4 linked regions of the Pelodiscus sinensis genome follow. The protein of the gene in region 3 purifies or fractionates together with the protein of the main gene of each other region. This does not show direct contact. Links are inferred from orthologs where the notes say so. Each region holds a gene or a part of one and is shown on either strand. Other genes may lie near its edges. The genes, in order: CANX, TMEM259, ERLIN2 and TMUB1.

The links.
Region 1: the proteins of ERLIN2 (region 3) and CANX purify together in Homo sapiens (affinity purification with mass spectrometry; 4 studies listed by BioGRID and IntAct, with this or other methods). This does not show direct contact. The link is inferred for Pelodiscus sinensis from reciprocal best matches to the Homo sapiens genes ERLIN2 and CANX.
Region 2: the proteins of ERLIN2 (region 3) and TMEM259 purify together in Homo sapiens (affinity purification with mass spectrometry; 3 studies listed by BioGRID and IntAct, with this or other methods). This does not show direct contact. The link is inferred for Pelodiscus sinensis from reciprocal best matches to the Homo sapiens genes ERLIN2 and TMEM259.
Region 4: the proteins of ERLIN2 (region 3) and TMUB1 purify together in Homo sapiens (affinity purification with mass spectrometry; 4 studies listed by BioGRID and IntAct, with this or other methods). This does not show direct contact. The link is inferred for Pelodiscus sinensis from reciprocal best matches to the Homo sapiens genes ERLIN2 and TMUB1.

The regions. Positions count from the first base shown.
Region 1 is NC_134727.1:34,174,842-34,182,601, forward strand, and holds the start of CANX (calnexin), read left to right. Parts: upstream 1-4,732; 5' UTR 4,733-4,873; intron 4,874-5,087; exon of another isoform or gene 5,088-5,246; intron 5,247-5,664; exon of another isoform or gene 5,665-5,689; intron 5,690-7,760. UniProt on the Homo sapiens protein: Calcium-binding protein that interacts with newly synthesized monoglucosylated glycoproteins in the endoplasmic reticulum. It may act in assisting protein assembly and/or in the retention within the ER of unassembled protein subunits.
Region 2 is NC_134729.1:16,440,103-16,447,202, forward strand, and holds the start of TMEM259 (membralin), read right to left. Parts: upstream 3,001-7,100; 5' UTR 2,732-3,000; coding exon 2,495-2,731; intron 1-2,494. Other genes in the region: uncharacterized protein LOC142818988, read left to right, coding at 6,649-6,892. UniProt on the Homo sapiens protein: May have a role in the ERAD pathway required for clearance of misfolded proteins in the endoplasmic reticulum (ER). Promotes survival of motor neurons, probably by protecting against ER stress.
Region 3 is NC_134738.1:14,904,438-14,911,931, reverse strand, and holds the start of ERLIN2 (erlin-2), read right to left. Parts: upstream 3,189-7,494; 5' UTR 3,149-3,188; coding exon 3,092-3,148; intron 1,278-3,091; coding exon 1,156-1,277; intron 1-1,155. UniProt on the Homo sapiens protein: Component of the ERLIN1/ERLIN2 complex which mediates the endoplasmic reticulum-associated degradation (ERAD) of inositol 1,4,5-trisphosphate receptors (IP3Rs) such as ITPR1.
Region 4 is NW_027466049.1:4,716-12,777, reverse strand, and holds TMUB1 (transmembrane and ubiquitin-like domain-containing protein 1), read right to left. Parts: upstream 3,185-8,062; 5' UTR 2,969-3,184; coding exon 2,493-2,968; intron 1,361-2,492; coding exon 1,006-1,360; 3' UTR 608-1,005; downstream 1-607. Other genes in the region: FASTK (fas-activated serine/threonine kinase), read right to left, coding at 24-221. UniProt on the Homo sapiens protein: Involved in sterol-regulated ubiquitination and degradation of HMG-CoA reductase HMGCR. Involved in positive regulation of AMPA-selective glutamate receptor GRIA2 recycling to the cell surface.

The sequences.
Region 1 (7,760 bases), on a different chromosome or scaffold from region 3:
GTTTCCTTTAGACTGCAGTTAACCAGTGACTACAGGTAAACTTTCTGATGTATGTATTTTAAAACACCAACAATGACCTCCTGTCATGGAGCTGTGTTTTCCCTGTGGTGTCTGTCATCTCTCTCGCTTTCATCACCCGTCTTGGCATTCTTTGGGTGGATCTCAGTAACCTGTGCTTGCTTAAACACCAACTCAGCCAAAACTCTGGTGTGTGCTGCTTTTCAGTATACCCAAAACAGTTTTACATTAACAAAAAAAAATCCTGTTATACCCTGACCTGGGCAATACATTCAGACACTACTAGCACAGCACCCATCCTTTGTTAGAACAGGCCACTCAAGTGGTATCTATCTAGAAGTTATGGTTAATGGTGCTAGCAGTCTGTCTCAACTTTCCCTAATTTTTGATCCCTATTTACTGCTAGCCTACACTGACCTTTTTGTAAGCTATGCAGAGGGAATAGGAGCAAGAGACTCCTTCGTTTTCATCCTTGCTGTGCCAGTAATTTCTTGTGTGATCTTACAAATACTGCTCCTCCTCTCAGTGTCTCAGTTTCCTATTCTAAACAATGGGGAACAGTACTTTCCCCACTTCACAACATTGGTAGGAAAATTATGAAGCTCATGTTTGCAACATACTTATCATTTACATAACATTTTACATCTACGGTGCTATATCTTGTTTCAGAGAAATGAATGCAGCATAGCTTAGATTTTTCTGCATGATATAGAAAACGTTATCAGAATTTTACATCAGTATTGTCTCAGTGGCACGCATAATAAACTGGGCTGTGTATGTGCATAACTGCCATCTACTGGATAGAATTGGAAGAGCCCAACAATGAATCACAAAACGGTGTTCTGCTATTGGAGAGTCTTCTTTTAGTTTGTATTTGTGGAACAAAAGAGTGGGAATTCTGTCCTGACTGTTGCAGTGAAGTCCTAAGTGGTGAGCAGCACAGTAATATATGTGGAGACCAGGTATGCAGGTATAAAAATGTCATTTAAAAAAAATCACACCCCAAGGCCTCAGATGTAGTGCTAGGATGGCCATTGACAGATCTCCAGAGTACTTCTTGCATGGTGTGGGCCTGCCACCTGCCAGAATGGCCTCTCAAGGACAACTAGCTCCTACTGCATGCCCCGTCAGTAGTGACACCAGGGCTGTGTCTACATTGGCGCTATCTTGCGCCAAAGCAGCCGCTTTTGCACAAAAACATGCTGCCTGTCTACACTGACGGGGAGTTCTTGTGCAAGAACACTGATGTTCTAATATGTGAAATCAGTGCTTCTTGCGCAAGAACTATGATGCTCCCGCTCAGGAATAAGCCCTTTTCCACAACTGTTCTTGTGCAAGAGGCCAGTGTAGACAGGCAACATGAATTTCTTGCGCAAGAAAGCCCGATGGTTAAAATGGCCATCAGAGCTTTCTTGCACAAGAGAGCATCTACACTGGCACGGATGCTCTTGCGCAAAAGCAAATCTCTTGCACAAAGGCACATGCCAGTGTAGATGCTCTCTTGTGCAAATACTTTAACGCAAGAACTCTTCCATTAAAGAGTATTTGCGCAAGATCATGCCAATGTAGATGTAGCCCTGGACTGTCTGGCTTAAAACTTTCAGAGGGTTAGCCAAGTTAGGCTGTAACAGGAAAAACTTAAAACACAACAAATAGTCTGGTAGCACTTTAAAGACTAATAAAACACATAGATGATATCATGAGTTTTCGTGGGCACAGCCCACTTCTTCAGATGACTAGAGAATGGAAGGCCTGCCTAGATCCTGCATGTCCTCTTTTTAGGCTTGCTCTCAGTTGGTCACAGCTCTATGTTTTGAGGAGTGGGTTTTGGGTAACGTACAGTGCTCAGGATGAAAGGGAAGGATGTGCAAGTGTGTTGAGAGGTGTGTTATCAAATTGCTGTAACTGTCTTGCAGTTACAGATTGGCAGACTTAGGCTGAAGAAAAAGACTAGCAGCAGGCAAAATACAGCCTGTTTGCCACAGCCTCAGGCCACTCAAAGCAGCCAGCTGCTGAGGCCTTGTGCGTCTAGGCACTGTGTACCCCTTGCAGAAGTGGGGGAAACTTTGTGCGCTGCCCCCACCCCCAGCCCAATCATCACAACTCCCATTGGCTGAGATTGTGCTGGGGGTAAGGGCAGCATGTGAAGTCCCTGTCCCGTCCCCGCCCCGCAGCACAGTGCAGAGGAACATGGCCCCAAGCAGCCAGCCACTTTGAGCAGTCTGGGGTTGCCTGAGTCCCACTGGGCAGCTGACAAAGCACTGCCTACCAGCCAGAACCTTCATTTGGCATCCCACCCCCTCCCATACCCCAACTCTCTGCCCCAGGTAACCACCCAAATCCTTGGCACCCCTCTGGTACCCCTACCCCAGGTCACAACTCCCTCCCAGACTCACGTGCCCTCCTATGCTTCTCTCCAGTCTAGAATCCTCTCTTGCACCGTGTGACGGGGTTTTGGAGCGTAAGCTGCCGCCGCTGAGGGCAGGGCCCAGCGAGCCCTCCCTCTGTCTGTCTTAACCTCCCCGGGTCGGCTATATGGGTGCGAGCCTCTGCCCCAAGTCTGAGGGCAGGGCCCTGTGGGCCCGCCAACCCTGTGGGGACTCTGGCCCTCCCTGTAAGAACTTTCTCCATCAGATTAGGCTTGTGGATGGATGAGTGGATCGAGGAGGTGTAGGGGGACCCGGGCCCTCCCTCTCCACTGGGTCCCAGCCCGGGGCCCTTAGGGTGGGCTTGGCCGTCCCTACCCAGCTGATGGGGATTCCACCCGAAGCTCTCCAGCCCACAGGCACCAGAAGCGCTGTGCCCTGGGCTGCTTCCTAACACCCCCTCGACTATTGGGTCCCTCTTTGGGGACCCCAAGAGTTATCCTTCCGGCGGGTCACGATGATCTCTGCGCGGAGTTCTGGTTTGCCCGGCCACTTTCCAGCTTTTGCCACCGAGGAGGAATGAACCGTTTCCCCCGATTCTGCAGGCTGTCCCCAAAGCTGGAGCCACCCCTCCATCTTCTGCTCTCGTCCTTTTCAAGGGTGCCGCCATGTTGCGCTTGGGAGCATGGTTCTGCCCCCTGCCGTAATCCCCACAGGCGTCCAGCCCCGGGCAGGGGTTCCTCCCTCCTCTGGGAGGGCCTGTGTTGCTACCGGGGCTGGCCTCAGGGCTGGGGTGGTGATCGGGGTCCCGCCAGGGGTGGCCCTGGCTCGAGCCACCCCCCCACTTTCCCCTCCGTCTGCCGCTACCTCCTAACCTCTGCCCCAGGTTGGGCCCTGCCACGGGTGCCACGCGGGATGCCGTGGCGGCGCTCGGCTGCCCCTCTCCCCGGCCATGATCGGCTGCCACGGCTTCCACGCGGCTTGCAGCCAGCAGCTCAGCCCCCGCCGCACTCTCCAGAGTGCGGGCTGTGTCCGGCCCATCACACACCTATACCCCCTTCCTGACCCTGCACCCCCTACTTTGTACCCCAATCTCCTGCCCCAGTGTACCCAAACCTTCTGCACCCCTCTCCCAGGTCAGAGTCCTCTTCTGCATTCAATCCCCTGCCCCAGGTAACACTTCACTCAAACTCCCTCTCACACCCTGCACCCTCGCTGCACTCCAGTCCCCTACCCTGAGCTCCCATTTATTCCCATCTCTGTGCCATACCATGGCATGCCCTCCATAGAAAAGTGCAGCTCTTGACCACTTACCAAAATCTTGGAGTGGCCCCCCCCATCAAAAATTATTGCCCACCTCTGGAACAGACTGAGGGATAACAGTTCCTTGGTTGTGCCTTAAGCACTAGCCCCTATGCAGATCTCTGCCAGCTGTCCCGCCCCACCTCCTATGTTGACCTCTTCCAGCCCTCTCAACCCTTGCCCCAGCACTAGCCCCCAGAAGCAACTGGTGAGGTAGTTTCCAGGGGGGAAAGCAGCCATATGCTCCCCCCACAACCTGAGGAAGGCCTGGAACAACCCTCCTCTGCCCCAAGCCCTGCCTCTCTCTACCCCTTCCCCACCCTTGTTCCTCTCCCACCCCATCTCTTCCTTCTGCCACACCACTTCCAGTGAGTGTAGGGGCAGTCCCACCACTCCCCAAGAGCAGCACCAGCAAGAACTGCCTTACTATGCTTTCCCCGCATCAGCCCTGCTGGGGAGTGTGTGCGTATGGGCTCCAGCAGCTGTTGCTGGTCAGCCCTTCAGGGGTCAGTGCCGCCCTCCCCCTGCACTCATGGATAGTGCCACAGCAGAGAAAGCCTCTGCTAGTTCCCACCACCCCTCCCAGCATTGGCCTCTTATGGCTTCTTAGCAGAGCACTCACAGCTGGGTTTTGATTTTACTGGTGGTGCACATTTGCATGTGCCTCAGTGCACATACAATTATTCTGCACATGGACAGAACAGAGGGAACATTGCTGCCAGCTCCCCCTTCCCAGCACTGGCCCCTATCCTGGCCTAGCGGCTACACTGCTCCCAGGAGCAAGGACAGGACCTAGGCACCGCTCCTTTAAGAAACCCAACGCTTCCTCCTGCAGGAATCTGATTCTTCTTCTCTCACGCTCCACCCACCTCCCCGTGTTAGCCAATCAGCGCACACTTCCTGCGCAAGCGGCCAGCCAATCACCGCGCTCCACGAAGGGCAGCGCCGTAGGGGCGTCGCTTAAGACGGGAGAAGCGGCGCCATTGACCAATGGGAATGCGACATACGCTCCGGCGCGGGAGGTCGATTGCTGGCTCAATCAATGGGGAGGTAGGAGTGGGGCGGAGCTAGCGCGCGGTAGATAGGCGGGCGGGAGGGCAGGCGCGCGCGCGGGCGGCCGCTCCGGCTAGGACACGTGACGGGGGTGTTGAGGCTGCGGACGGCGGCTGCGGGGGGCGCGTGGCGAGGTGAGTGGGGGTAACCCCCGCCCGGTAGAATCGCAAGGCCGGGCCTGCTTCTCTTCCCCCCCCCCCCGGGCTGCCGGGGAAGGCTCTGCCCGCGGGGCATGCTGGGGCATTGGCGGGGGGCGAGGGCGCGAAGGGCCGGGGGTTGGGGTGGCGGGCGCGGAGTTCGCAGGCGCGGGGCGTGGCAGGGCTCGGCGTGAGGGGGAGCGAAGCCCTGTGGGACGCGGCGGGGCTGGGCCTGTAACGGGTTTGCGAAGCCGGGGGGGGGGGGGGTCGGTGCGGCCCCCGCGTGTCCGTTGCCAGTCCCGGCTGGGAACCCGCCGGCGGAGCCCGGGACGGGCGAACGGAGGCCGGCGCGTGGCCAGCCGCGTCCAAGGTGCGCGCAGGGCTGGGTGCCGCGGCTCTTCCATTCCCCCCTCTGGGCTCGACCAGTGGCGGGCGAGGCAGCCCGTTCTGGTAGCTTCTTGTCGTGGGTGGGGCGAGCGACTGACACTGGCCCGCGTGGCCGAGGGCTGCGGGGGCATGTGCTCATCCCAGTGCGATGCGGCGCAGAGACTGTGGGCTTGGGCGGAGGCGAGGTGGAGGCCGAGCTGGTGGGGTTTTAATATGCGTACGGGGGAGGTGAAGTCACTAGGACTGGATCTGCCCTTGCCAAAAATCGGGGTGTTCAGAAATGGCTCTTCTGACCGGGCGTTTCTGCAGAGGGTGAAAGATGCAATCAGGACTGGAGCAGTATGACTGGAGGGAAACGGGTGGAAGTTACTGGAATGAAAGAGTTCGGACCACAGAAATAAGAGTGGAGGAGGAAACAGAAATAAGGTGTGGAGGAGGAAACGGAAATTAAACAATATGCCTAGTAAAAGGCATGTAAAACAAAGGTGACCTATAAAGTGCAGCACTTTATACAATTTAAAATGTATATCTCCTGAACATAGCTTCTATTTTTTTTTTTTAAAGCTGTGTGTCTTTTTCAAGGCAGTATGTAATGGAACCCTTGCTGCTGTTCATTGTGGTGGTCTGGCATCACACAGACCTTGAGTTAAAGTAGATGCTTTCTGTCTTGCTACCTCTAATCTTTTTAGATAGCTCTGAATGGGAAAGTAAAGGGAGAGTACTCTGGACTGAACAAGAAATGCAGCGATTGAATTACAGAGTAAGCAGCCATCTTCTTGGAACTTTTATCTGAGTTGACAACTGCCTTCGAGTATCATGTCTGCATAGAGCCTGAATTAATTTTTCATGGCAAATATCCAATAGTAGTAGTAGTAGTAGTAAATATTCATTAAAATGTGGAAGGTAATTGACTTATCTCTGTTAGCAGTGCTCTTTAGTTGCTGCAACAATTTTTGCAAATGGTTTTATATTTGCAAAAATATAGAATATAAAAATATTCTAGTCACACTAGAATGGTTTGCAGTTTGTGTGCACTTGAAAATCAGGCTTAGGAGTGTTCTTGACTAGAGGTGTGTGTATCAGTTACCTATCCTGATTTGGCAATATTGTTGTCTGGCTCTAGGTGTGGTGCCCCAGAGAACTTGAAGGCTGGTTTATAGGCAGAATGATAGTAACATCAGTGTGCGCTAGTGAAATTGGGGAGGTGACAACGCATAGGATAATACATCTTTGAATAACAACCACCGAGAACAATAAAATATTTGCATTTATGTTCAGTCTGCAGTTAGTTCTAACTTGCAAAACTCTCATAATGGTCTTTTCAAAGATACTATTAAAATCCAGCCATAAAATCACCTGGCTTCAGCCCAAAGTACTTTCACTTAATTCTAAAATTATTGTGTATAAACTTCTTAGACTCAATAGAAATGTTGTTTAAAATACACTGAAATTTCTCTACACCATTTACAATTGAAATGCTACAGTAATGGAGTAGGGCAGGCGTTGGGAACCTTTTTTCTTATCAGGGGCCATTGACCTCCAGAAAAACATCAATAGTGGGCCATATTCAGCTCTGTCAGGGAGGGTGTTGAGGGTTGGGCCAAAACGAGAACTTTGAAGTGTAGAATGGAGTTCAAAATTGGGATGTAGGAGGGGGTGAGGGCTCTGAGTGGGGGTGCAGGCTCTGGGCTGGGATTGAGGGGTTTGGTGTGCAGGAGGGGGCTCCAGGCAAGGAGTGAGGATGTGGGTTTTTAGAGAGCGTTTGGGTGCAAGAGGGTGCTTAGAGCTGGGGCAAAGGGATGGGATGTAGGAGCTTACCTCAGGCAGCTCCCATTCACAGTACTGTGGTGCTAAAGCAGGCTCCCCACCTGCCCCGATCCTGTACCTCTGCTGCAAAGCGGCCATAGCTGGCATTTCCCTGTGGTCCCTCATGCGGGGCGGGGGGCCGGGGGAAGAAGACAACACACATGCTGTCCTTGCCTGCAGGTGTCACCCCTGAAGCTTCATGAGCAAGTGGTGGTGCTGACAATTACAGCCTGGCCTGGGGGGGGGGCGCGGCGCAACACACCAAGGCTCAGGGCTTTTAGCCTGTGGCATAGAGACTTGATGCTGGCCAGATTAATTTAATCAGGGGGGTCTTTAATGTGACACCATCCCTACAGTTAGTTTTTAAACATTTCCCTTCCAACAGCTTCTGATCCTAAGAATTCAGTGTAACTTACTCAGTTTTTTCCCAAATAAACTTAACTTTGTCCCCTTCTTCCCTCTCCTGCCCATTCTGCATTTATGGCATTCATATTCCTGTCTCTTCAGTGCTTGTCTTCATCCATTTAACTTGGCACCATAATGGAAAACTCCACCTGGAAGAAAGGCTGTTGCTTTTGATCCCAAGACAAATTTGAGTTGGTTTGCAAAAGTGACAGCAAGACTGCTAAGTATGCTTTTCCCACTAAGTGAATTCTTGTATCTTGAGGTATTTCCATAATTTTTGTTATAA
Region 2 (7,100 bases), on a different chromosome or scaffold from region 3:
AATCCAGTAGTCAGCCATCAGACTGGAAGATTGAAGCCATGCTGAAAAACCCAAAAGACCAAACTCAATCATTTTGACAGAGAAACTGAAAGACACAATTCTCTCTTAACTACACAAAATACTTCCTCAAGCAATTAGGAATAATGAATGCTTCCCATGAAAGCACAAGAAAGACTGCACAATTTTCTGAGTAGTAAGAGGCCCAAATAGCTTCAAGATGGGCATATCAGAACAGGGGGGCAATAGCACTGAACTCTGTTACTCTCATACCACCAATCCTGCAGTTAGATCCTCAGTTAGATTTTGCATGAGCTAAAATCATGTGGAAACAAAGTGATTCAAAAGGAGTCAAAGCAGCCTTCTTTGGGCCACCTCCCTAGATAGTCTATTCTACAGCCTTCTGTAATCAGTTCCAACTTAATAGAAAACATGGCCCCTGCTCTTCCCCAAACCCCTTAGACAGCCAGCATCAGACAGGAACTCAGACCTTGATGAGAGACAGGAACCCCAGCTGGATCCTAAAATGATCCACGGTCCCCATATGAACACCATGGACTTTGAACACCCTATCAATGGAGTCCAGACACCAGGGCTATGTCTACACTGTGGACACTCTCTTGCGCAAGAAAGCGCCGATGGCCATTTTAGCCAAACTGTCTTTTCCGAAACCACGTTGAAAACACCAAATCATTTTCTATTGGCCACACAGCCATCAGATGGTGGTGTGCACTCGCCTATCAGTCTAGGTTGGACTAGAACCTGTGACTTTAGATAGGAAAGTTTCGGAAATGCTATTACAGCTAATGTGTAAAATAAAAATTCACGTGGTACACAAGTTAAGAGGAAAGGATCTGTACATCTGGGTGTCATGCTTGGATTATCTAAGGTTAAACGTTTTGTTTAAGGCACATGGAACATACCATACGTAATCAGCATTAACTCAAAGGTAGGTACAAAGAGTTGTCCTGTGGCACCAGAGACTAACAAAAATATACATACAGGTTGGACCTCCCTGGTCCAGCACCCTCAGGATCTGACCAGTCCTGGATGAGGGAATTTGCTGGACAACGGGAGGTTACCTGACACCAGCCCCTCAGTCCCTTCCTGCTGCTGGCAACTTTGGCCCAGCCGGGCTGCCTTCTGGCCAGTCCCAGCTCCGCTGCCAGCTGGGCGGCACGATGTCTAACTGGGATGCTGCAGGCCCAATCCCCCGCTGGGTGGCACGTGGCTCCAGCCACGCTGCCTCTGCGAGGCTGCGCCAAGGCCCCAGCCTAGATTCCCCTCCCGTGTTGCTGCAGCCCCAGCCTTGCTGTCGGGCAGTAGGCAGCCCTGATTGTGCTCTGCTGTTGCTGCTCAGGCTGCTGCGGCATAGCTGCTGCTAGACTCACCAGGCTGCACCACTTTCCCAGCTGCTGGGCCTCCTGCTCTGGGGCTCTCTCATGCTGAACCACAGATGTTGCCAGACCAGAGAGACCTGAATTTGGGAGGTTCAACCTGTAGGATCATGAGCTTTCATGGGCAAAACCCATCTCTTCAGATGGGCTGGAAATGTAGGTGTGTAGGTTTAGCAGTACAGTTCTAAGGCAGCAGTGAATAAGTCTTTGGATACGTCTCCCAAGGGAAGTTTCACATACTTAGTCATGGAAAACAGATCTATTAATGGTTGGAGATTGTTCCTACACCACTGCCAAGCCCAGAGACTATCTACCTACCCCAACCTGGAGCCATGCACCCAGTTACCGTATATAATGGTTCAACAGAAAAATACACCAGCCTGATGGGAAAGTCTCTCCGGCCAGTGTAGGTGGGGTGAGGTGACTGATCCTAGGGTAGCAGCCAATCTCTCCTGTGGGTTAACAGCTGTTTGGAAGCAAGTCAGGCTTGACTGAGCTGTACAAGGGGGTGAAGACTGATGTAGAAAGTAGAGATGTAATAGTATAGTTGATTAACCCATAAGCAAACGCTCACAGGTTAATGCTACAGACTACATGCATTTCCCTCCCCTCCCTGCCAGTAATTTTTGTTAGTAGCCCGGCCAGCAGCCTGGCTCAGTCCTGGCTTGTGCTGGGTCCAGGATCTCCCCCCACTGTGGCTCTTGACTTAAAGTATATTAGGAGCCAGGTGGGCAGGCAGCTCCGCTCAATTCCAGCTTGTGCTGACCCCATTCCCGAGAAGCCTCCTGCAACCCTGAGCGGCTGCATCTCCAGGGGCAACAGAGTGGGGTGAGAGGAAGCCGGTCCACACGAGGAGCTGGTTTTTAAGTTGGCTCCTCTGGCAGACCAGCTCCCATCTGGCACCCTGCGCTGCTGCCTCTGATAGAGAGACAGCAGCGCAGGGTGACAGGGGACTCCCCGGGAGTGGGGCCAGAGCACATGGGCTGCCACTCTCAGGGACTATAGAATAGTCGACTAACTGATAAACTGTGAGGTTAATCGACTATTCATCCTTAGTGGAACGTGCCCCCAGTTCACACACACGTGGCCCTGCCCCTCACCTTGAGGAGGACAAAGAACTCGAAGATGCGGCGGAAGGAGGGTGGGAAGAGGCGGGCGTAGGTGACAGCCATCTTGAAGAAGAGGGCATGGAAGAGGCGGTCGCGCACGTTGATCAGGGGGTTCTGGTTGAGGTTGGGGTTCCGCACCCCCCGGTTGTTCCCCGCGGCAGCCCCACCGGCCCCGTTGTTGTTCACCGGGTGCTGGTGCTGGTTTGCATTGGGCTGGTTCTCCGACATCCTGGCCCTGTGGGGCGGGGGCACCCGGCCGTTTCGGGAGCGCGGGGATCACAGGCCTGTCACCAAGGTGAGGGGGAGGCTCGGACTCCTTTTGGGGGGGGGGGGGAAGCGGCTGGGGGAGGGGTGCTGTTCCAGACCAAATCTGACAGAACCAGCCCGGGGGGGGGGGAGGGGGGGAGTAGTTCAGCCCCCCCCTTCACACAGGACAGAGGGAACCGCTGCGAGGGGAGCCCGCGGGTGGGGGGGTCACACGGGGGGAGCTCAGGGGTGACCCTGGGGGCAGAGGGACACGGGGGGGGGAAGAGTAACGCGGGGGGGGGGGCCCGGGTGTGATACTCGGGGGGGCCTCTGGGGGCGGGGGGGGGTCACGCGGGGGGGCCCTGGGGGGTCACGCGGGGGGGCTCGGGGGTCACGCGGGGGGGGCACCCGGGGGGGTCACGCGGGGGGGGGCCACGCGGGGGGGCCCTGGGGGTCACGCGGGGGGGTCACGCGGGGGGGTCACGCGCGGCGGCGGGGCCGCGGCAGGCCCGGGCGGGGACGCGGCTCCTGGGCCGGCCCCGCGGCCATGGGGGCCCCGCTCCGCCTCCCTCCGCCGCGTCTCACGACCCGGCCCGCGCCGCCGCCATCTTCCGCCTCCTGCTGCCCCGGCCCGGAGGCTGCACCGCGCCAACGAGCGCGCGCCGGCCCGAGAGCGGCAGCTGCGCAGGGGACGCCGGGACGGTGGCGGGCCAGAGGGGCCGGGCCTACGTTTTAGCCTTATTTGCATATTCGACTAAGGCGCGCCCTGTGGTTCCCGGCATGCGCCGCGAAAGAAGCCTGGTTAGAAAATAAAAAGGAAATTAAAAGCGTTAAAACGGAGGAACAGTGAAAAAAAGCCACCGAGAGGATCAGGATCCGCGTGGTTCGTTCACTAGTGACTGAGGCACCCCAGCGCGGACACGAGGCAAATCACCCTAATGGAGAAATATTTCACTTCTGGAGGTTTAAATAGCTCCGGGGTTTCACTTAGATTCGTGCTCGCTTCGGCAGCACATATACTAAAATTGGAACGATACAGAGAAGATTAGCATGGCCCCTGCGCAAGGATGACACGCAAATTCGTGAAGCGTTCCATATTTTTGGGGCCTGGCTGGCTTCCGCCTGGTTCTTCCCACCGCCCAGCTACTGAATCCACTGGGGCAGCTGCTCCCCAGGAACCTTTTACAGCCCAAAGCTCAGCGCAGGGCATCACAGCTCAGAACAGGGCAATTATCCACCCTGTGCCAATCTCCCAGCCTCTGAAAGGACACCTGGAGCATTGGGCTATGTCCCAGGCAACCTTCCTACTAATTTTTTTCCATCCACGTGCGGAATAATTTGATGTGCACTGGGGCATGTGCGATGTGCACCACCAATAGAACCACATCACCTGGCTGTTTGTCACTCTGCTAATCAGCAGGGCAGCGTTTGAATTTCTCTTGAGCAGCTGCTCAAGGAACACTGGGCCCAGGCCATCGTGGCTAATAGCTAGTGACGGACCGGGCATGTCGAATTCTTCTTTGAACCCAGTTATACGTTGACCCTCCACAACAGCCCCTGGCAGGGAGGGTTGTGTGTCTGGGTTGTCTGATGGGCCATGGAGGCGGGGGATGGCTTGACTGCGAATGTGTTTTCAAGCTGCTGTGTTTCAGATGCTCTGTAACTCGCAGCAAGCAAGTAACACTTTACCCAGTAGGTCTTCTGTGTTTGGTTCAAAAACTCTCCTTGGGTCCTAGCCGGCAGGCGGCTCTGTGCAGCCTAGAACTGCAAGGGCAGGTAGTAAGAGAAGTGCAGGTTTTTCCCAAGCGCTGTCTGGAAAGAGGGTTAAAGAGCTGGAGTAACCCATAGGAGGAAATTCCCAAGTGCATCTTGGGGGGCGCAAGGGGTGTTTGCCTTGGCTGGTGGCAGCCACACCAAGGCCAGGGAATCTGTGACCATGGGGAGTTTTTTAAACAGATTCCTTTAGTGGCCTGGTATTTTAGAGTCGCTTGCCGGCCCCACCCTCTGGGGCGCAGCCTTGAGACGGGGAGAGGCCAGAGACTCCGTCACAGCCAGGCCGCTCCTAGGCCACGCCCTGGGCTAGGGCTCCAGGCTGAGTTGGAGCCTGGGCTCACAACCCCGCACACCCCCCAGACAGCCCCGCGGGACAGCAGCAGCCCCCGCTCAGGCAAAGCCACCAGGCCCCTTCGGCCACAGCTGGGCCCTGCCGCCTGCACGTTGCCGGGGCCGAGCAAGGCGCGGGCGAGCGGCACCTGCCTGGCTAATTTCTAAGGGGCCGGGCAGGTGGGAGGCCCTGCACGGATGAATTCACACAAGGCCCCTGCTGCGTGGGCGGGGTGACTCCGTGGGGCACCAGGGTTGCAAGAGGAGAGAGGGACCCCTGGGGCCTCCCCATGAGCCTGCGGTGAGGCCAGCCTGCCGGGGAATTCTGGCCCCCCTGCCTGGCTGGTAGGAAGGACGCTGGCGCCAGGGCTCTCTGTTGATCCGGGCTGTTTGTGTTGCTACTGGTGCAGTGGCCTAGGGGTGTGTGTGTGTGTGTGTGTGTGCGTGTGTGTGTGTTCAGCTAAGGTGGCGCCAGCAGGCGGGAGGCCTGAGCCGCCCGAGAAGGGCTGGCGGGGAGCCCCAGTGGGGGCGTTCCCGAGGGATCCCATCCCCAAGGCAGCACCGGAGGCCCGGGCTGCACGGTCACACGCTGCACCAGGCCTTGGCAATTCGCCAGCGCACCTGGAGAGCCGGCTTGGTGTTCCGGCACATCCCTGCCTCAGTCACGCACTGCTCCACGAGCCCCTCTGCCTGCGAGCCCATGGGCCACAAGCCCCATGCTGGCAGCAAGAGAGAAACTGGCTGCAGCCACATCTCTGGCCAACCTTACAGAGGAGGCTCTGAGACCAGGCTTCCCTCTCATTTTTTCCATCCATGGGGGAATAAATTTTGTTCCGTGCACCGAGGCATGTGCGGATGTGCACCACCAGTTGAAACAGGCTGCTGGCTGCAGGTGCTCTGAGAATCAGCTGGGTGGCATTTGAATCTCTCCTGCGGGGGCTGCCCAAGTGCCCAGCTTACAGGGAACACTGCCCGAGACCTGCCCCTGCCGGGCACCAATACATCCCAGAGGCTGCACCGCCTCGTGGCCACCCCCTGCCCCCACCTGCGTGACCCAAGCCGGCCGTGGGCTCACAGCAGCCAGTAAGCGCCGCAGGGAGGGGCAGGGTTCCCTGCTCGGCATACGTCCTGCGCTGAGCACAGTGGGGCCCCGGCCTCCAGAAACTGCTCTGAATTGAACCCTGATCCGTACCCGTCTGAGCGTATGAGGCCATCACTAGTGCGGGGGCAGGGCGTCTATCCAAGTAAGGGCTAGGTCCTGGGAAGTTTGGGGTGGTGGCAGTGCTAGCTAATGGTTAGAGCACAGGCTTGGGCAATCTGGATTCTATTCTTGCGTCTCCCACAGGCCTGCCAGTGGTACGTCACAACCCTTTCCTGGTGCCTCAGTTTCCCCATGGGGATGATGCTACTGCGCTCCTCTGTAAAGCCCCTGCTGAGCAGTGTGAGCTAATAACCATCCCGTGCGTGTCTCTAGCAAGGCTGGCAGGGAACAGGGTCACAGGCAGGGATCGGGGACGGCGCCCAGTGCAGGGGGCACAGGGATCCGGGGGTCGTTGGGGCTGCAGGCAGGGGAAGGAGCCGGGAGTCGGAAGTTGCAACCTGTGAATGAGCCAAACCCTCTGCACCGGCCCATGTGAGCAATTCCACCTTAAGAGACACCGGCCCTGCCCCCCCGGCAGCGGCCCCCTGCTTGGTTACTGTCCCAGGCACCGCAGAGCAGGGGCCACCCCACGGCGCAGCCCAGCACTGGGCAGGTGGATGGATCTGCCCAGAGGGGAGACACCAGGGCACGGCCCATGCTGGGAACCTCCGACCTGCCTCCGTGCACGGCCAGCCCCCCGCCTCCTCCAGCGTCTCCCTCCGGCTTCCCCCCCCCGCACCCTCGCTCCCCACCGGTACCCGAGCGCCCACGGCTGCCCGCCCCCCGCCGGAGGATGGGCTTGGGGCACCGGACGGAGGCGAGAGCGCAGCCGAGGCTGCCCCACTTCTCGTGGACGGACTTGGTGTTCCGCCCCCCACCGGGCCAGCCTCCGCGGGAAGGTACGGCCCACGATAGGTCCCCGTCCCCGACAAGCCGGGACAGCTAGACCAGTGTGTGTGTGTGTGGGGGGGGGGGTGTCTGCATGTGTGTGGGTGTGTGTGTGTGCGTGAGTAGTGTCTGAATGTGTGTCTGTGTGTGTGTGCTTGTGCGTGTGCGTGCGTGTGTGCACGACGGGTACTGACATGCAGCCTCCTCTGGGGTGGGCCG
Region 3 (7,494 bases):
AGATCCACTGAAAAGGTAAATAAACTGACATCTTGTCACTTCCAAACAGATAGATATCTGCACTTGTCAGCTGTGCTTGGACACTATTCTCCTTCAAGTTCACCCTATTGTCAATAAGCAAGGAAAAGCTGTTCTCTGTGGTTGTGAGGGCTGGTTTTGCTTTGTCACAAGCCACGTTTAATTGCCAGTTAGGGTGTGAAAAGTCACCCGCTAACTAAGAGTCAGACACACAGCATTAGGATTGTGGATTTGAAAACCTTTACAAATTCATGATCAAAACATGGAAAAACACACCTTCAGAATGAATGATCTCTAAAGACATAAATAACCCCAAAGCAGATGGAGACAAACTAAATATACCCTAAGATTAATACTTGAAAATCAGTGCCATTAGATTTGGACCTTCCACCTCCAAGCCATTGGTTCAAATCCAGTAACCAAAAGCTGTTACAATGCAACAGCTGTTCATTAGTTTATGTGGAACGAGTTAGTGGAAGGGTCTCCCATCACTAAAACATGTTAATACATTTGTCATTAGTCAGCCCCTCGGTTGGCAGGTTCATCAGAGCTGCTAAGGGTTGAATGAGTCATGGAGACCGAATTGCTCTCACACACAAAGGACGTCCCTTTAGCTCAGGGCATACTTTTTAGAAGGGAAGCAAGCAATGCCAATGCTGTATGTTATCAGAGGATGAACAGAGGACTTAAATCCTTGTGGCTGCCAGCTCCGCACTTTTCATCTACATCTCTCACTCTCCAGTCACCTGCCAGACATCTCAAACCAGAACCCAAACTTCTGTTTCTCTCCTAACATAGCTAACATCACAAGCCCCTGACACAGAGCAGAGAGCTGCAATCCTTATTCCCATATTAGGATTTGGGGGCATCATCAACTCTTCTGGGGATAACACAGAAGCTTGAATTCAGACTTTACATCCAGGTGAAGGAGGATGGTTCACAAGTTTTTCATATTAATGCGGAATCACTGATCATTTCTAAGACTGCCGGTGTGCCTTCTGCCAATTTGGGATCGCAAACTTTGTCTTTCCCAACTCCACCACACTCTGACAGTAAATTGGCCTCTGACGGGGGAAGCCACTGGATAATGGTTTCAAAATATTGTGACCCAAACAATATTCCAGATGCATGCCTTACCTATAATAAACGCCAATATGTCCTTCTTCAATTTTGTGAATTGCAGAGAAGAGAGCTGCAGCCAGAAAACTAAGAGACAGGGCCGCTATCGCACCTAGTTGGGCCATTCCTGAGTGCACGGCCTGGGCAAAGGGACATAGAGCACGAGATCAGAGACTGAGAAATATTTAACCAAATGCACGTTGCCTAATACTAACACTAGATTTAATAATAACTATGCTTCCAGCTGAGGGTGCTTCACAGAAATTAAGTCCCATAGGTATTCCCAAGGGGTCAGTTTTACTCCCATTTTATAAATAAGGAAACTGAGGAAGTGAACTGGCATGCCCGTTGTCATGGAGTGAATCTATAGTAGAGTTGGGAACTGAACTCAGAAGTTCCATCTGCTGCTCTAGCCACCCCTCGGCAACATCTCAGACATCTCTCTCCTGTTGTGCTTTGATTAAAGTATCAGTTTTAAGACACCCTCCCCCCGCCACCACCGCATCCGGGTATAGTTAAAGGAAAGCCTAGTGCAACTTCCACTTCACGTTATCTTACCCATTACAGAGATAGCTTCCCCAATTATCACCTCTAATATCATTAGCTCACAGACATTTACCTCCCACCCCCCCATTCCCTTTCTGTTCTGAAATTTGATTTGTCCTTTTCGTATGTGTTCATTTTTTAACATTGTATCCTTTGGTATATATGGTTGTGACAATTTTCTTCCACTATTTGATCTGAGGAAGTGGGTCTGGCCCATGAAAGCTCATTATCTAATAAACCATCTTGTTAGTCTTTAAAGTGCTACATAGTCCTGTATTTTGTTTCAGCTACACCAGACTAACACGGCTACATTTCTTTCACGTTATTAGCATTCTCCAGGCTCAAGCTCCACGGAGTTTAAAGCTGCTCTGCTATCCTGGCAACATGTACAGGTGCACTAGAGGACTCTTGGCAAACAGTGTGTTTGATGTGGACACATTAACTCCAGGTGCTATATACCCCCTCAACGGGACAAAAGGCCTCTTGCAATCCTGATTAAATGACAGAGGCTGCCAAATGAAACATTGTAACTGTCATTGTAACTGAGCTGCACCCACAGAATAGTAATTGAATATTATTTGAAAACAAACTGTTATTTACTATTTGCAAATGTCAGAGCATGCATGGGACTACATAGGATCTTATGGTCTAGTTTGGATATTCAGGTTGCGGCGGGGGAGGTCTAGGTTGGATATTGGGAAAAGCTATTTCTCTAGGCGGGTGGGGAAGCTCTGGGCTGGGTTCCCCAGGGAGGGGGCGGAATCTCCATCCCTGGAGGTTTTTAAATCCCATCTTGATAAAGCCCTGGCTGGGATCAATTAGTTGGGATTAGTCCTGCTTTGGGCAGGGGCTTGGACACAATGACCTCCTGAGTTTTCTGTCCGCCCTGGGATTCTATTCTAGGACTCTACTAAGCATCGGAAATCGGCCCCAGGAGCCCAGGCAGGGCATTGGGCCAATAAACCCTGATCTGGGCCAGCGTGGCAGCCAGCAGGCCTGTTCGCACCCGAGCGCCTGCCTCCAAAAAGCGCCGGTGTCTTTGCTCTGGGGGGAAAGGGACCGACCCGACACCCAGCTCGGGCCCCCCAAGGACCCCACAGCCAATGCGGGGGGGCCCTCGCCTCCCCCCCCACGCGGGGCGGCTCCACCCGCGCAGCCCACGACGCGAGGGAGGGGCCCTTGTCCCCACGTGTCCCCCCCACCCCTAAGGGACCCCCAGACAGCCACGGGGGGGGCGAGCCCCAGGGGACAGGGAGTCCCAGCCCTGGCGTGCGGCTCGCGGGGGGGGGAGCTTGTGGGGGGAAGGGCCCCAGGAAGGGGGTTCGGTGGAGGGGAGGGGCTCTGAAAAGGGGGGGTTCAGTGGGGGGGGCAGGGCCGGGGAGCCAGGAGCGAGGCTGCCCGCACTCACCGCCGGCGGCAACGACTTCCGGGTGCGTCGCCGCCGCGGTGACGGGGATCCCGTCATCACTGCGCGCCGCCGCCCCGCCCCCCGGCCCTGGAGCCTGCAGTTCCCGCGGCGACACCGCCAGGGGGAGCTAGAGACTCACGCCAAGGGCCCGCGCCTGATCGCCCCCTGCAGCCCCACACGCCTGGCTCCAGCTCCAGCTCCCGCACCGACCCGCCTGCAGCCCCGGGCACCTGGCTCCCGCACCGACCCGCCTGCAGCCCCACACGCCTGGCTCCAGCTCCAGCTCCCGCACCGACCCGCCTGCAGCCCCGGGCACCTGGCTCCCGCACCGACCCGCCTGCAGCCCCACGCGCCTGGCTCCCGCACCGACCCGCCTGCAGCCCCACGCGCCTGGCTCCCGCACCGACCCGCCTGCAGCCCCACGCGCCTGGCTCCCGCACCGACCCGCCTGCAGCCCCGGGCACCTGGCTCCCGCACCGACCCGCCTGCAGCCCCACACGCCTGGCTCCCGCACCGACCCGCCTGCAGCCCCACACGCCTGGCTCCCGCACCGACCCGCCTGCAGCCCCACACGCCTGGCTCCCGCACCGACCCGCCTGCAGCCCCGGGCGCCTGGCTCCCGCACCGAACCGCCTGCAACCCCACACGCCTGGCTCCCGCACCGACCCGCCTGCAACCCCACGCGCCTGGCTCCCGCACCGACCCGCCTGCAGCCCCACGCGCCTGGCTCCCGCACCGACCTGCCTGCAGCCCCACGCGCCTGGCTCCCGCACCGACCCGCCTGCAGCCCCACGCGCCTGGCTCCCGCACCGACCCGCCTGCAGCCCCACGCGCCTGGCTCCCGCACCGACCCGCCTGCAACCCCACGCGCCTGGCTCCCGCACTGACCCCCCTGCAGCCCCACACGCCTGGCTCCCGCACCGACCCGCCTGCAGCCCCGGGCGCCTGGCTCCCGCACCGAACCGCCTGCAACCCCACACGCCTGGCTCCCGCACTGACCCGCCTGCAGCCCCACGCGCCTGGCTCCCGCACCGACCCGCCTGCAGCCCCACACGCCTGGCTCCCGCACCGACCCGCCTGCAGCCCCGGGCGCCTGGCTCCCGCACCGACCCGCCTGCAGCCCCACGCGCCTGGCTCCCGCACCGACCCGCCTGCAGCCCCACGCGCCTGGCTCCCGCACCGACCCGCCTGCAACCCCACGCGCCTGGCTCCCGCACTGACCCCCCTGCAGCCCCACACGCCTGGCTCCCGCACTGACCCGCCTGCAGCCCCACATGCCTGGCTCCTGCGCCCACCCGCCTGCAGTCCCAGGCGTCTGGGTCAATTTCCTGGCTCCCTCAACAATTCACTGTGGACTCCCGGACTCCTGGGTCCGATGCTCACTTGCTATGTGGCCATCAGTTTGCCACGCTCCTATGCCTCTTTCCAAAACAGGCTCATCCCTATGGCCCGTGAGTCTTGGGTTCTGTTCCCAGGTCTGTTACTATAGGGCCCATAGATCTGTGTATGATTTATAGTCCCAGCTCTGCCACACTGACCACATGGACGGGTGCTAATCATTTTGTTTTGAGTTGAAGTCATTTTCTTTCCAGAGGTTCCTAAGTCTCCATTGAAATGGGAGGACAGTCGGTCCATCAATGGCTCTTAGCAGAGATGGCCAGAGATGCAGCCCTGTGCCCAGGGTGACCCTAACCTCTGACTGCCAGAAGCCAGGTTTGGAAGACAGATCTGGACCACTCTAGAATTGCCCTTTTCTGTACAATCCCCTGAAGCTCTGGCACCGGCCAATGTTGGAGACAGGATATGGGGCAGGATAAACCATGATCTGACCCCTCATGGCAGCTCTTACATGCTTTCGAAAATTTTACCCGCAGCCTTTTTGCGCCTCAGTTTCTGCATCTGTAAAATGGGGGCTGCAGTGAAAGTCCATATAGTAAGATGAGGGTCTGAAACATACGCTACTGTATCACAGGCCTGAAACATAAGGCCTGAGGCCTAGGAGCAATAGTGAAGACTTTGCTCAAATAAAGCAACGTCGACCCATTGTAAAGGGCATGCCTGTGTTAGCCTAACTATAGACCTTTTGATCCGGAGAAGCTAGGACCGTATCTCACCTACAATCAACCTGGTCTGCCGCCTTCGATCCTTATCTGATTCTGTGGTCTTTGGGGGCTCTCTCGGAGTCTGCTGTGTTGACTAATTGTGCAGGGTCAACACAGTTAGCGGGTAGCAAACGCATGAACGCACACAGCTGAACGGTTGTCAACACTGAAGAAGCAGGAGACCTGTCAGGCTGCCCCCGGTGATGCCTGACTGCTACAGTCAGTGAATTAACATTTGTAAGAGTGTTGGGTGAAACCTCTGCCTGAAGCCAGCTGGGGTACAGTCGAACTCAGCGGACTGGCTGCATGCACAAATCCATGCTGGGAAAGTCAGTGCATGCAGTACTGCTGAGTGAGTACATGCAAAGCCAGCTAGCAGTCCAGGTGAATGCAAGGTGATGGAAATTGAGAGACCAGGTGGGCGAGAATCCTTTACTGACCCAGCTTCTGTGGGTGAAAGAGACAAACTTTCAAGCTTTTCTTGGGATGATCAAAAGCTTGTCTCTTTCACCAGCAGATAGTCCAATAAAAGCTTTTACCCCACAACCTGGCTACAGCCACACTGCAAACATCTCTTGAAATACAAGTTTCAGTTTTTTGAAAGGAATGCAAAAAAAAAAAAAAAAAAGAGTGTCTTTAGCATCCTGTGGACTGTAGCAATTGCTCCACATTGGGAACTGACCTGCTGCCAGAGCCCATGGCTGTGATCTCCTTGCTGGGACCAAGGAAAGCCAGGTGCTTCAGGCTACGTCTAGACTGAAGGCTTCTTTTGGAAGAAGCTTTTCTGGAAGAGATCTTCCCTAAAAACTTCTTCTGAAAGAGCATGTCTACACAGCAAAAGCGCAATGGAAAAGTGATCTGCTTTCTTGAAAGAGAGCGTCCACTCTGAATGGACCCTATCTTGCATTTCAGCTGTGATTACTGTGGACAGAGTGCTTTTTCCTGGAGGCCTCTTCTTTCGAAAAACACTCTCTTCCGCGTCCACACATGCCTTTTTCTGAAAAAGCTCCCCAGAAAAAGACTTCTTCCTCATAGAGGTTTACTGCTATCAGAAAAACCTCTCTGTTCTTTTGACTTTCTGTCGAAAGAACGCAATAGCAGTGTGGACGTAAGTCGTTTTTCTGGAAAAATAGCCTTTTTTCCGGAAAAAACGACAGTGTAGACATACCCAAAGAGTGAGTTAGTTGGTTAATTGGTAGTTAATTAGTTAAAGCTGGCTGCCTTGTTGGTGCTATGGTGGGTGTTGTGCAGCTTGGAGACGCTGTCTTTGGGATGTTTGTTGTTCAGTTTCCGGGTGGATGAAAGTGACTCAGATCTATTCATAGTGCTGAGAAGTGGCCTTGGACAGGTCTTTGGCTAAGGTAGGCTCAAAATTTCAGGCAGGAGCAGACTGAAGGAACCTTTGCCCCACAATAGGGCTAGGAGCAATGGGGTGGGGAGGGGAATAGATAGCTGTTCGGGGGGCTGGCTTCGTCCCACAGCGAGGCTGCGATGGATACATTCTATTCCACCTGCCTTCCTTGTCCCTCTGCATGGGAAAGATTTCAGCTGAGTTTCTTTAGAAATCAAAACCTCCTGAATTCCACCTGACTGACACTAATCCAATGTCAATCTCAAGCTGTGAAGTGGCTGCTAGACCATGTCACAAATTCTTTGCCTCTCTTTTTCCTTGTCTGACAAATCTGGAGGCGATTTAAAAAAATCTGTTCCCTATTCCACTGCAGGTTTGGCCAGACTGAGTAGTAATAATAAGAAAAGTGACAGACCATGCAAAAATATATTAAATCTTCAGCGTCCGTAATTGTTGAAGGGGACTTAAGAAATATAGAAAAGACATATAAAATGTCAATAAAGGAGAATAATTTGATCTTTACACTTGATAGATCTCCCAGGGTGTATATAACAAACCTGTCAGAAGAATTCGGCACCAGTTAGAAATAAGGAGTGAAATATCTGCAATATTTGTCAATTCAAATTTTACAGCTCTTAAATAAGCGCAAAAGGGCACCTGGGATGAAATATGCCCTGTATTAGATTTTATAAATGTTTGCCCAGATTTAAGCTCTTGATAAAATGTATTAAATTTTTAAAGGTTTTAATGGATCTAGTATGTGTTTCATAAATCAAGAACTGCTGCCCAACTGCCTCTTGGTTTAATAAGAGTAAACTAGGAAATTGCTCTGAGCTGAAACAAAATACATATAATATTTAGAAGTAATAGCCTTTTAAAGGCAGGGTGTTTTTTGGCTCACCAACGGGGTTGTGCTTCATAATGCTCAAGCTATATTGTTATTCTAAATG
Region 4 (8,062 bases), on a different chromosome or scaffold from region 3:
TACGCCCCCCCGCCCCCCCCTACATCTCGCTCCCGTCGCCGCCCCAGGCCCCTCAGCGCCGCCCGGCCGCCGCGTCCGCCATCTTCCCGGCAGCCCCCGCGTCGCCCCACGGGCCCGGGGGCGGGGCCTGCCGCGCCCCACCGCCGCCGCGGAGGCCGGGCTCGATTTGCATATGCTAATGAGGGTGAGCGTTCGCTCGCGGCCCCCGGCGACCCCCCCATCTGCCCCGCCCCCTCCCGAGACCCCGCCCCCACCTGCCGCTCCTCCGCCCTCGCCCCTCCCACTCCGACCCACCGTTCCCCTCCCCCGGCCCCTCCCCCTCCTCAAAACCCCTCCCCCGGCCCACCCCCTCCTCATACCCCCTCCCCCGCCCCCCACCGCTCCCCTCCCCCGGCCCACCCCTACTCATACCCCCTCCCCCACCGCTCCGCCTCTACCTTCCCCTCCTTGCTCTGTCTGCTCCCTCCCATCCCCCTCACACCCTGCCCCCCACTCCCCGTCTCCCTCCCCTACCGCCCTGGAAAGCCCAGCCCCTCTCCGGCCCATGCCCCCTCCTCCTCTGCCCCCCCCGCGCAGCCCCGCACACACAGCAGGCCGGCAGGCAGAGTTCAGTCAGTCACAGGTTTTAATTTGAAAAGAAGCACTAATGAGAACCATGCTCCGTTAGCCCCCCGCGGCTGAGCCAGGCCAGCACGACCCCCACCAGGCCCCTCGTGCAGCACGACTGCCCCGCTGCAAGGGCCCCACGGCCCGGGGACCCCGCCCACTCAAGCTCGCAGGGAAAAGGGCACCCGGCTTCCAGCCAGCGTGCGGGGCAGCCGTGCCCAGTCTGCGCACAAGCACGTGCAAGGGCGGGCGTCTGGGCAGATTCTATTTGCACAGCACCTCCGGCAGCAGAACCAGGTGACACCCGGCCGGCCAGTCCTGCCTTGCCCCCACCCTGCCAAACAAGCCCCGAGCCCGTTGGGGGCAGCATGGGGCTAGGCCGCGGCCGGAGGGGCAGCGCTATCTGCGGTACAGCGCGAAGGCCACGAAGCTGAAGAGCAGGGTGAGGCCCGCCAGGCAGGTGGTGGCTGTGGCGGTGAAGACGTGCCGGTACTGCAGCTGGAAGTACCACAGCGCAGCCAGCATGAGCACGAAGAGCGGCAGCATGAGGCTGCCCACGTTGAGGGCCGTGTGCACGGGGTCCGCGGTGGCCCGGAGGCCAGCAGCCACGGGGGCGGGGCCATGCTGGGACACGTGGCAGTGGAGAACGCTGTTGTGGGTGAGATGCAGCGCAGCCAGGCTCTGGGCATCCTCCCGCAGCAGCTGGCCCTGGTAGATCAGACGCACCTGGTGCTCCTGGCCGGGGAAATGGGCCCTGTGGTGAGACACAAGGAGGGCAGCGTCACTCCAGCCCCCCGGGAGCCTCTGAACGGCCCCGCCCAGCTCCCCCAGGGTCCTGTCTGCCAGCGGCCGAGTGATCTCTCCCGCCATCCCTTCCCAGCACCAGGCCTGGAGCAGGGGCTGTGTCCTGACCGCCCTGGCTCCGGGAACTGACCGAGTGCGTTTTCATCCAGCTTTTACCTAGCCACGCCGCCCCCGGCAAGGAGTTCCACAGATGGACAGTGCGCGGTGCCAAGCAGCCCTTCCTTCTGGTTGGTGTTAACGTCGCTAAGTGGCCCCGGGGCCTTGTGTTCTGGGAAGCGGTAAATAACACTGCTCTGACCCCCCCGCTCTTCTGGACTGGTCGACTCCGCCAGAGTCGTCTTTTTGCCAGTCCCAGTCTTTGCAATCTCTCCTCTCGTCCAGCCTCTCTTCGAGCGGACCACGGCCCCGTGGTTCTCGGCCCTTTCTCCCATTCAAATACAGCTTTTGAGACGGGATGAGCAGCAGCCTTCGCTGTGCGCTGAGCACCAGCTGGCTGGCAGAGCGCCCGCAGCCGTCCATCGCAAGCAGCGTGTTTCTACTGGTGGTGCACAGCCCACACGCTTAGTGCACACCAGAAAACTGATTCCACACGTGGACGGGAGAGATGAGGGAAGGCTGGCAAGAAGCCCTGCACTCAGTATTCCCCGTGGCAGCCGTAGAACGCCTCCTGTCGCATTACCTACCCCTCCCAAGGGGCCCCACGTTCCTGCCACGGCTGCGTGGGAACAGCCAGTCAGTCCCCGGCGGTGCGCGCGCTCGGGTCTGTGCACCCATCAGCACGGAACTGCATCTGCCACTGCGCGGCCCAGCCCCCGCGTGGCGAGCGCGCGTTCAACGCCTCAGCCTGCACAGTCCAACCTCCCTCCCAGGAGCCCCCATCGCCTCCGTGGCCTGGCATTCTGCCGGGTGCCCTCGCTGTTCCCGTGACCAGCGCTGCCAAGGCTCAGGCTACCACGCAGGCTCACCGCCGGGGGGTGGCAGCGGAGAGCCATGTCCAGCACCAGGGAGGGAGGGCCAAGCAAGGCCGAGGGATGCCAGAGCCTCTCCCCTCCCACAGGCGAGAGGGCGGCCGTGCCCCTCACCTCTTGAGAGAGCCGACCGTCTCGTCTGGGCGCACGGAGACCAGGCGCTCCGTGTCGTTGAGGAACTTCAGCCGCAGCACGGTGCCGCGCTCCGTGGGGCTACTGTCCACGGCCTCGGGGCTGGCGCCTGGGCCCTCGGGCGGCTGCGGGGGCCCCTGTGCAGATCCGGGGCTGGCCCGGTGCCTCAGCCCTGCAGCCGTGCCCTCAGGCCCATCTGGCGCGGCACCTGCCGAAGGCTCCGCCGTCTCCCTGGGCCCCCCTGCGGCTGGGGCCGGCGCGCCGGGCTCCCGGGACTCCTCCTCCAGCAGGCTCTCTGCCCCGAGCCGCCCAGCCGCCAGACTGGGGGGAGCAGCGAAGACCTGGTCCGCCCGCTCCGCCGTGTGCGTCGACACCCAGGCCAGCGCCAGCACCAGCAGCACCAGCAGCAGGCCGAAGAGGATGGTGACTTCGTCCCCCACGCCCTCGATCAGAGCCATGGCCGCGGGCCAGCGCCGGGACAGCCGGGTCACCAGCCTGCAGAGGGACAGAGCAGCAGCTGAGCGCCCCGGGCCCGCCCAGGCAGCAGCCAGAGCCCCCGAGAGCCCCTTTCCGCTGCTCCTGGCTTGGGGGGCAGGGCCAACCGGCCCCGCTGCTCCCCACAGCCTGGCACCGAGTTCGGGGGCCTGGCCGCCAGCTTCCTCTGGCTCAGCCACGACACGTGGGGCTCAGCCACCCGCAGCTCCCCCGTCACGCCGGCCCCCCCGCCCGCAGCTCCCCCGCCACGCCAGCCCCCCCGCCCGCCGCCCCGCCGCCCCCCCGCCCGCCGCTCCCCCGTCACGCCAGCCCCCGCCCGCCGCCCCCCCCGCCCGCAGCTCCCCCGTCACGCCGGCCCCCCCCCGCCCCGCCGGCCCCCCCCGCCCGCTGCCCCCCCTGCCCGCAGCTCCCCCGTCACGCCAGCCCCCGCCCGCTGCCCCCCCCGCCCGCAGCTCCCCCGTCACGCCGGCCCCCCCCGCCCACCGCCCCCCCCGCCCGCAGCTCCCCCGTCACGCCGCCCCCCCCCCGCCCGCAGCTCTCCGGTCAGGCCGTCCACCCCCCCGCAGCTCCCCTGCCACCCTGCCCCTCCCTGTCCGTAGCTCCCCCATCACGCTGGGCTCCCCCCCGACGCCAGCCCCCCCCGCCCGTAGCTCTCCCGCCACGCCGGCCCCCCCACTCCCCGCCACCCCCACCACCCGCAGCTACCCTGCCACACCAGCCCCCACCCACCCCATCCGCAGCTCCCCTGCCACACTGCCCCTCCCCGTCCCGAGGGCCAGGCGGCGGGGGCGTCCCGAGGGCCAGGCGGCGGGGGCGTCCCGAGAGCCGCGTCCCGAGGGCCAGGCAGAGCCGCGTCCCGAGAGCCAGGCGGCGGGGGCGTCCCGAGAGCCGCGTCCCGAGGGCCAGGCGGCGGGGCTGTGACGTAGTGGGGGTACTTGCTGGGCTGTGGTGACCCCTGCTGTCTGGAGCAAGACCCAGCAGGGAAAACCTCACTAGGCAGAGGTAGTGCCAAACTTGTTGAACCAGTGGCCAGACACCCCCCATGGAGAGGAACAAAGGAAGGTGGATGCTGCCCTGACTGGGGGGCAGGGCTGGAAGAGGGTTAGTAAGTTACTGTCTGGGAGCATGGAGGAGAGCCTAGGGAAAGAGGCTGGAGTTTAGGGGCCCAGTCTCCCCCCAACTCAAGGGGGCCTGAGGCATCCTAGCCCAGCTCTGTGACCAGACTACATCTGTGCTGTGCTGTATCCTGGAGAGGCAATAAACTTCCTCTATTCCACCGGCTGGTACAGTCTGTTTGTGCCATTTCGGGGTGCAGGAGGTGGGGAACCCCAACGCGCCGTCACACTGGTGTCAGGAGCGGGATGCACTGCACCCCGTGGATGGAGCTTCCAGTGGCAAGTGACAAGGCGCTGTAGAAGCAAGAGCCCTGGAGCCAGGCGTGCTGGAGGCAGAGAGAAGTGGTTCCTGGGAATCGTGGGGCGCTGCAGCACTAGACTGGTGAGTCTGCACCGAGGGGCCCAGCGGGCAGATGGCCTACGCCCGACTCTTGAAGGCAGAGCTGGTGGGGCTGTGCAGAGAGAGGGGCCTGCCCGTGGGGAAAGCAACCAAGGCCCAGCTGATTGCCCGGCTGGAAGAGAATGACCAGCCACAGGGCCAGGATCTTGTCCCCAGGGGGAGCAGCCAGACCCCTCCTGAGAGTGTGTCAGGCTCAGAGGGGGGGAGGAGCGCTGGAACCCACCGGAGAGATGAGACAGCGTCTCCCGGGAGGCCTGCAAGTAATAGCCCATCTAGGGCAGGGGACAGCCCAGCGGAGCTGCTGCGGCTGGAGATCCAGCTGCGGATCAGGGAATTGGAAGTAGAGGACCGAGAGAGGGACCGCCAGGACCGAGAGAGGCAGCGACAGCATGAGCTGGCCATGGCAGAGCGGAGAACCGGCGGGGCACCGGCTGCGCCAAGTGCGGATGGGCCCCAGGGTCCCAGGACTGCCAGATGCTTGGAGAGGCCCGTGGTGGCCCAATTGAAGGACATGGGTGACATAGACGGGTTCCTCAGTGCCTTTGAGAGGGCCTGTGGACTGCAACGGGTCCCCCCAGCTGACTGGCTGCAGGAGCTCATCCCCGCACTGAACCAGGAGGCGGCCGGAGTGCTCAGTCAGCTGGAGGACCTACAGCCAGGGGATTACAACCGAGTCAAGGAGGCCCTGCTGCACAAGTTCGGGCTGACCCCCGAGATGTACAGGAAGAAGCTCCGGGGGGTACAGAAAGGGCCACGGGAGACCTATGTGGACCTGGCCTCCCGCCTGGCGCAATACTGCCGCAAGTGGGTGTCTGGAGTCGGAGCCCAGACCACAGAGGAGCTGCTCAGGCTGGTCATGATGGAGCAGTTCTATGAAGCGTGCCCACCCAAACTGAGGCTGTGGCTCAAGGACCGGAGACCAGAGAACCCCCAGGAGGCCGGGAGGCTGGCAGATGAGTTCACGGAGAGCCGGTCCGGGTGTGAACGGGAGTCCCGGAGAGAAAGGGAACCGCGCAGAGACCGGATCTCAGCTGAGCGACGGAGAGAGTCAACTACGGGGCGAGCCCAAGGAACAGGTCGTCTGTGCCCCAGAGAACCAGCCAGGGCCTGGACAGAGACAGCCCAAAGCCTAACTTGCCATCGCTGTGGGCAAAAAGGCCACAAGAGGGCTCAGTGCACCAGGTCCCAGGACCGGGGACTTTCCAGGGTTAACTGGCTGGGGCGGGAGGAAGGGCAGGCTGTCCCAGAGGCAGGGGCTGGCAGGCAAACCTCAGCTCAGAGAGAGGGGAAGGGTGCTCAGTGCACCTCCCCTGGGAGGTCTGATTCTCAGGAGGCGGATTTCTCCGTGTACCGGGTGGGGGCAGGACGGCCCCTGCGGAGCGAGTGCCTCATACCCCTGGAGGTGGATGGTAGGAAGGTGACGGGCTTCTGGGACACGGGGGCGGAGGTGACTCTGGCCCGATCCGACATAGTGGCCCCAGACCGGATACTACCCCACACCCAGCTGACCCTGAAGGGCATAGACGGGTCCCCGTTTAAGGTGCCTGTAGCCCGGGTGCATCTGAAATGGGGGGCGAAGGAAGGCCTCAAGGAAGTGGGGGTGCACCCGCACTTGCCCACCAAGGTGCTGATGGGGAATGACCTAGAGGAGTGGCCCCATGAATCCCAGCGGGCTCTAGTCACTACCCGGAGCCAGAGCCAGCGGGGGGCTGACAACGTGGGTCCAGGGAAGGACTCCTGGCAGCGTCCTCAGGGTCCCATCCCAGTGGACACGGGGTCCAGCCAGGCTGGGACTCCGGACCTAGGCAAAGGTGGGGAACAGGTCCCGATCCCTGCCTCAGCAGCTGAATTCCAGGCAGAGGTGCAGGCAGACCCCTCCTTGCAGAGGCTGAGGGACCAGGCTGGCCTCCGTGCAGCTCAGCCCCGTGGGAGAGGTGGCCAGGAGAGATTCCTGGTGGAGCGTGGGCTCCTGTTCCGTGAATGGCTTCCCCCCAGGAAGGTGAGGGCATGGAGGGTCCAGCGGCAGCTGGTCGTCCCCCGAAAGTATCGCCTCAAGCTGCTGTATTTGGCCCACGATGTCCCCGTTGGGGGCCACCGGGGGATCCGGAGCACCCGGCTGAGGCTGCTCCAGCACTTCTATTGGCCGGGAATCTTTACAGCCGTGCAGCGGTACTGCCGGTCCTGTGACTCCTGCCAGAGGGGCGGGAAGGCCCAAGACAGGAGGAAAGCGGCTTGGGGGTCTCTACCCCAGATAGACCCTCTGGGCTTGCTGAGAGAGTTATGGGAGGGGAAGTCCTCCCTGGATGGAGCGTCGGGTGTGGGAGCCGCCCTGGTTGTCCAGAGAAGGCTCACTGGGCTCATGGCCCCGGCCCGAGAGACCCTGGCCAGAGATCAAGGCCAGTGGAAGGGTGGGTGTGACCCCCGAGGACAGGCCTGTGCCAGTCGCCCTGGAGCGGGGCGGCGAGTGGACAGAGGGAAGCCAGCTCATGTGGGGCCTCGCCACGGCCGGCCTGAGTCAAGGGGAGCACCCATGTCCCCAGGGCGGGTTCCCACGCAGAGGACCCGAACTTCCCTAGGTCACGAGCGGAGTGACCCTGCTCAGTTCGCTCTCGGAGGGGGGAGAACTGTGACGTAGTGGGGGTACTTGCTGGGCTGTGCTGACCCCTGCTGTCTGGAGCAAGACCCAGCAGGGAAAACCTCACTAGGCAGAGGGAAGGCCAAACTTGTTGAACCAGTGGTCAGACACCCCCCATGGAGAGGAACAAAGGAAGGTGGATGCTGCCCTGGCTGGGGGGCAGGGCTGGAAGAGGGTGAGTTTAGTTGCTGGCTGGGAGCATGGAGGAGACAGCCTAGGGGAAGGGGCTGGAGTTTAGGGGCCCAGTCTCCCCCATCTCAAGGGGGCCTGAGGCATCCTAGCCCAGCTCTGTGACCAGATTACATCTGTGCTGTGCTGTATCCTGGAGAGGCAATAAACTTCCTCTATTCCACTGGCTGGTGCAGTCTGTTTGTGCCATTTCGGGGTGCAGGAGACGGGGGAACCCCATCGCGCCGTCACAGGGGCGTCCCGAGAGCCGCGTCCCGAGAGCCAGGCGGCGGGGGCGTCCCGAGGGCCAGGCGGCGCGGGCGTCCCGAAGGCCAGGCGGCGCGGGCGTCCCGAGGGCCAGGCGGCGGGGGCGTCCCGAGGGCCAGGCGGCGCGGGCGTCCCGAGGGCCAGGCGGCGCGGGCGTCCCAAGAGCTGCGTCCCGAGGGCCAGGCGGCGGGGGCGTCCCGAGAGCCACGTCCCGAGAGCCACGTCCCGAGAGCCAGGCGGCGGGGGCGTCCCGAGAGCCACGTCCCGAGAGCCAGGCGGCGGGGGCGTCCCGAGAGCCGCGTCCCGAGAGCCAGGCGGCGGGGGCGTCCCGAGAGCCGCGTCCCGAGAGCCAGGCGGCGGGGGCGTCCCGAGGGCCAGTCAGCGGGGGCGTCCCGAGGGCCGCTTCCCAAGAGCCAGGCGGCAGGGGCGTCCCGAGAGCCGCGTCCCGAGAGCCAGGCGGCGCGGACGTCCC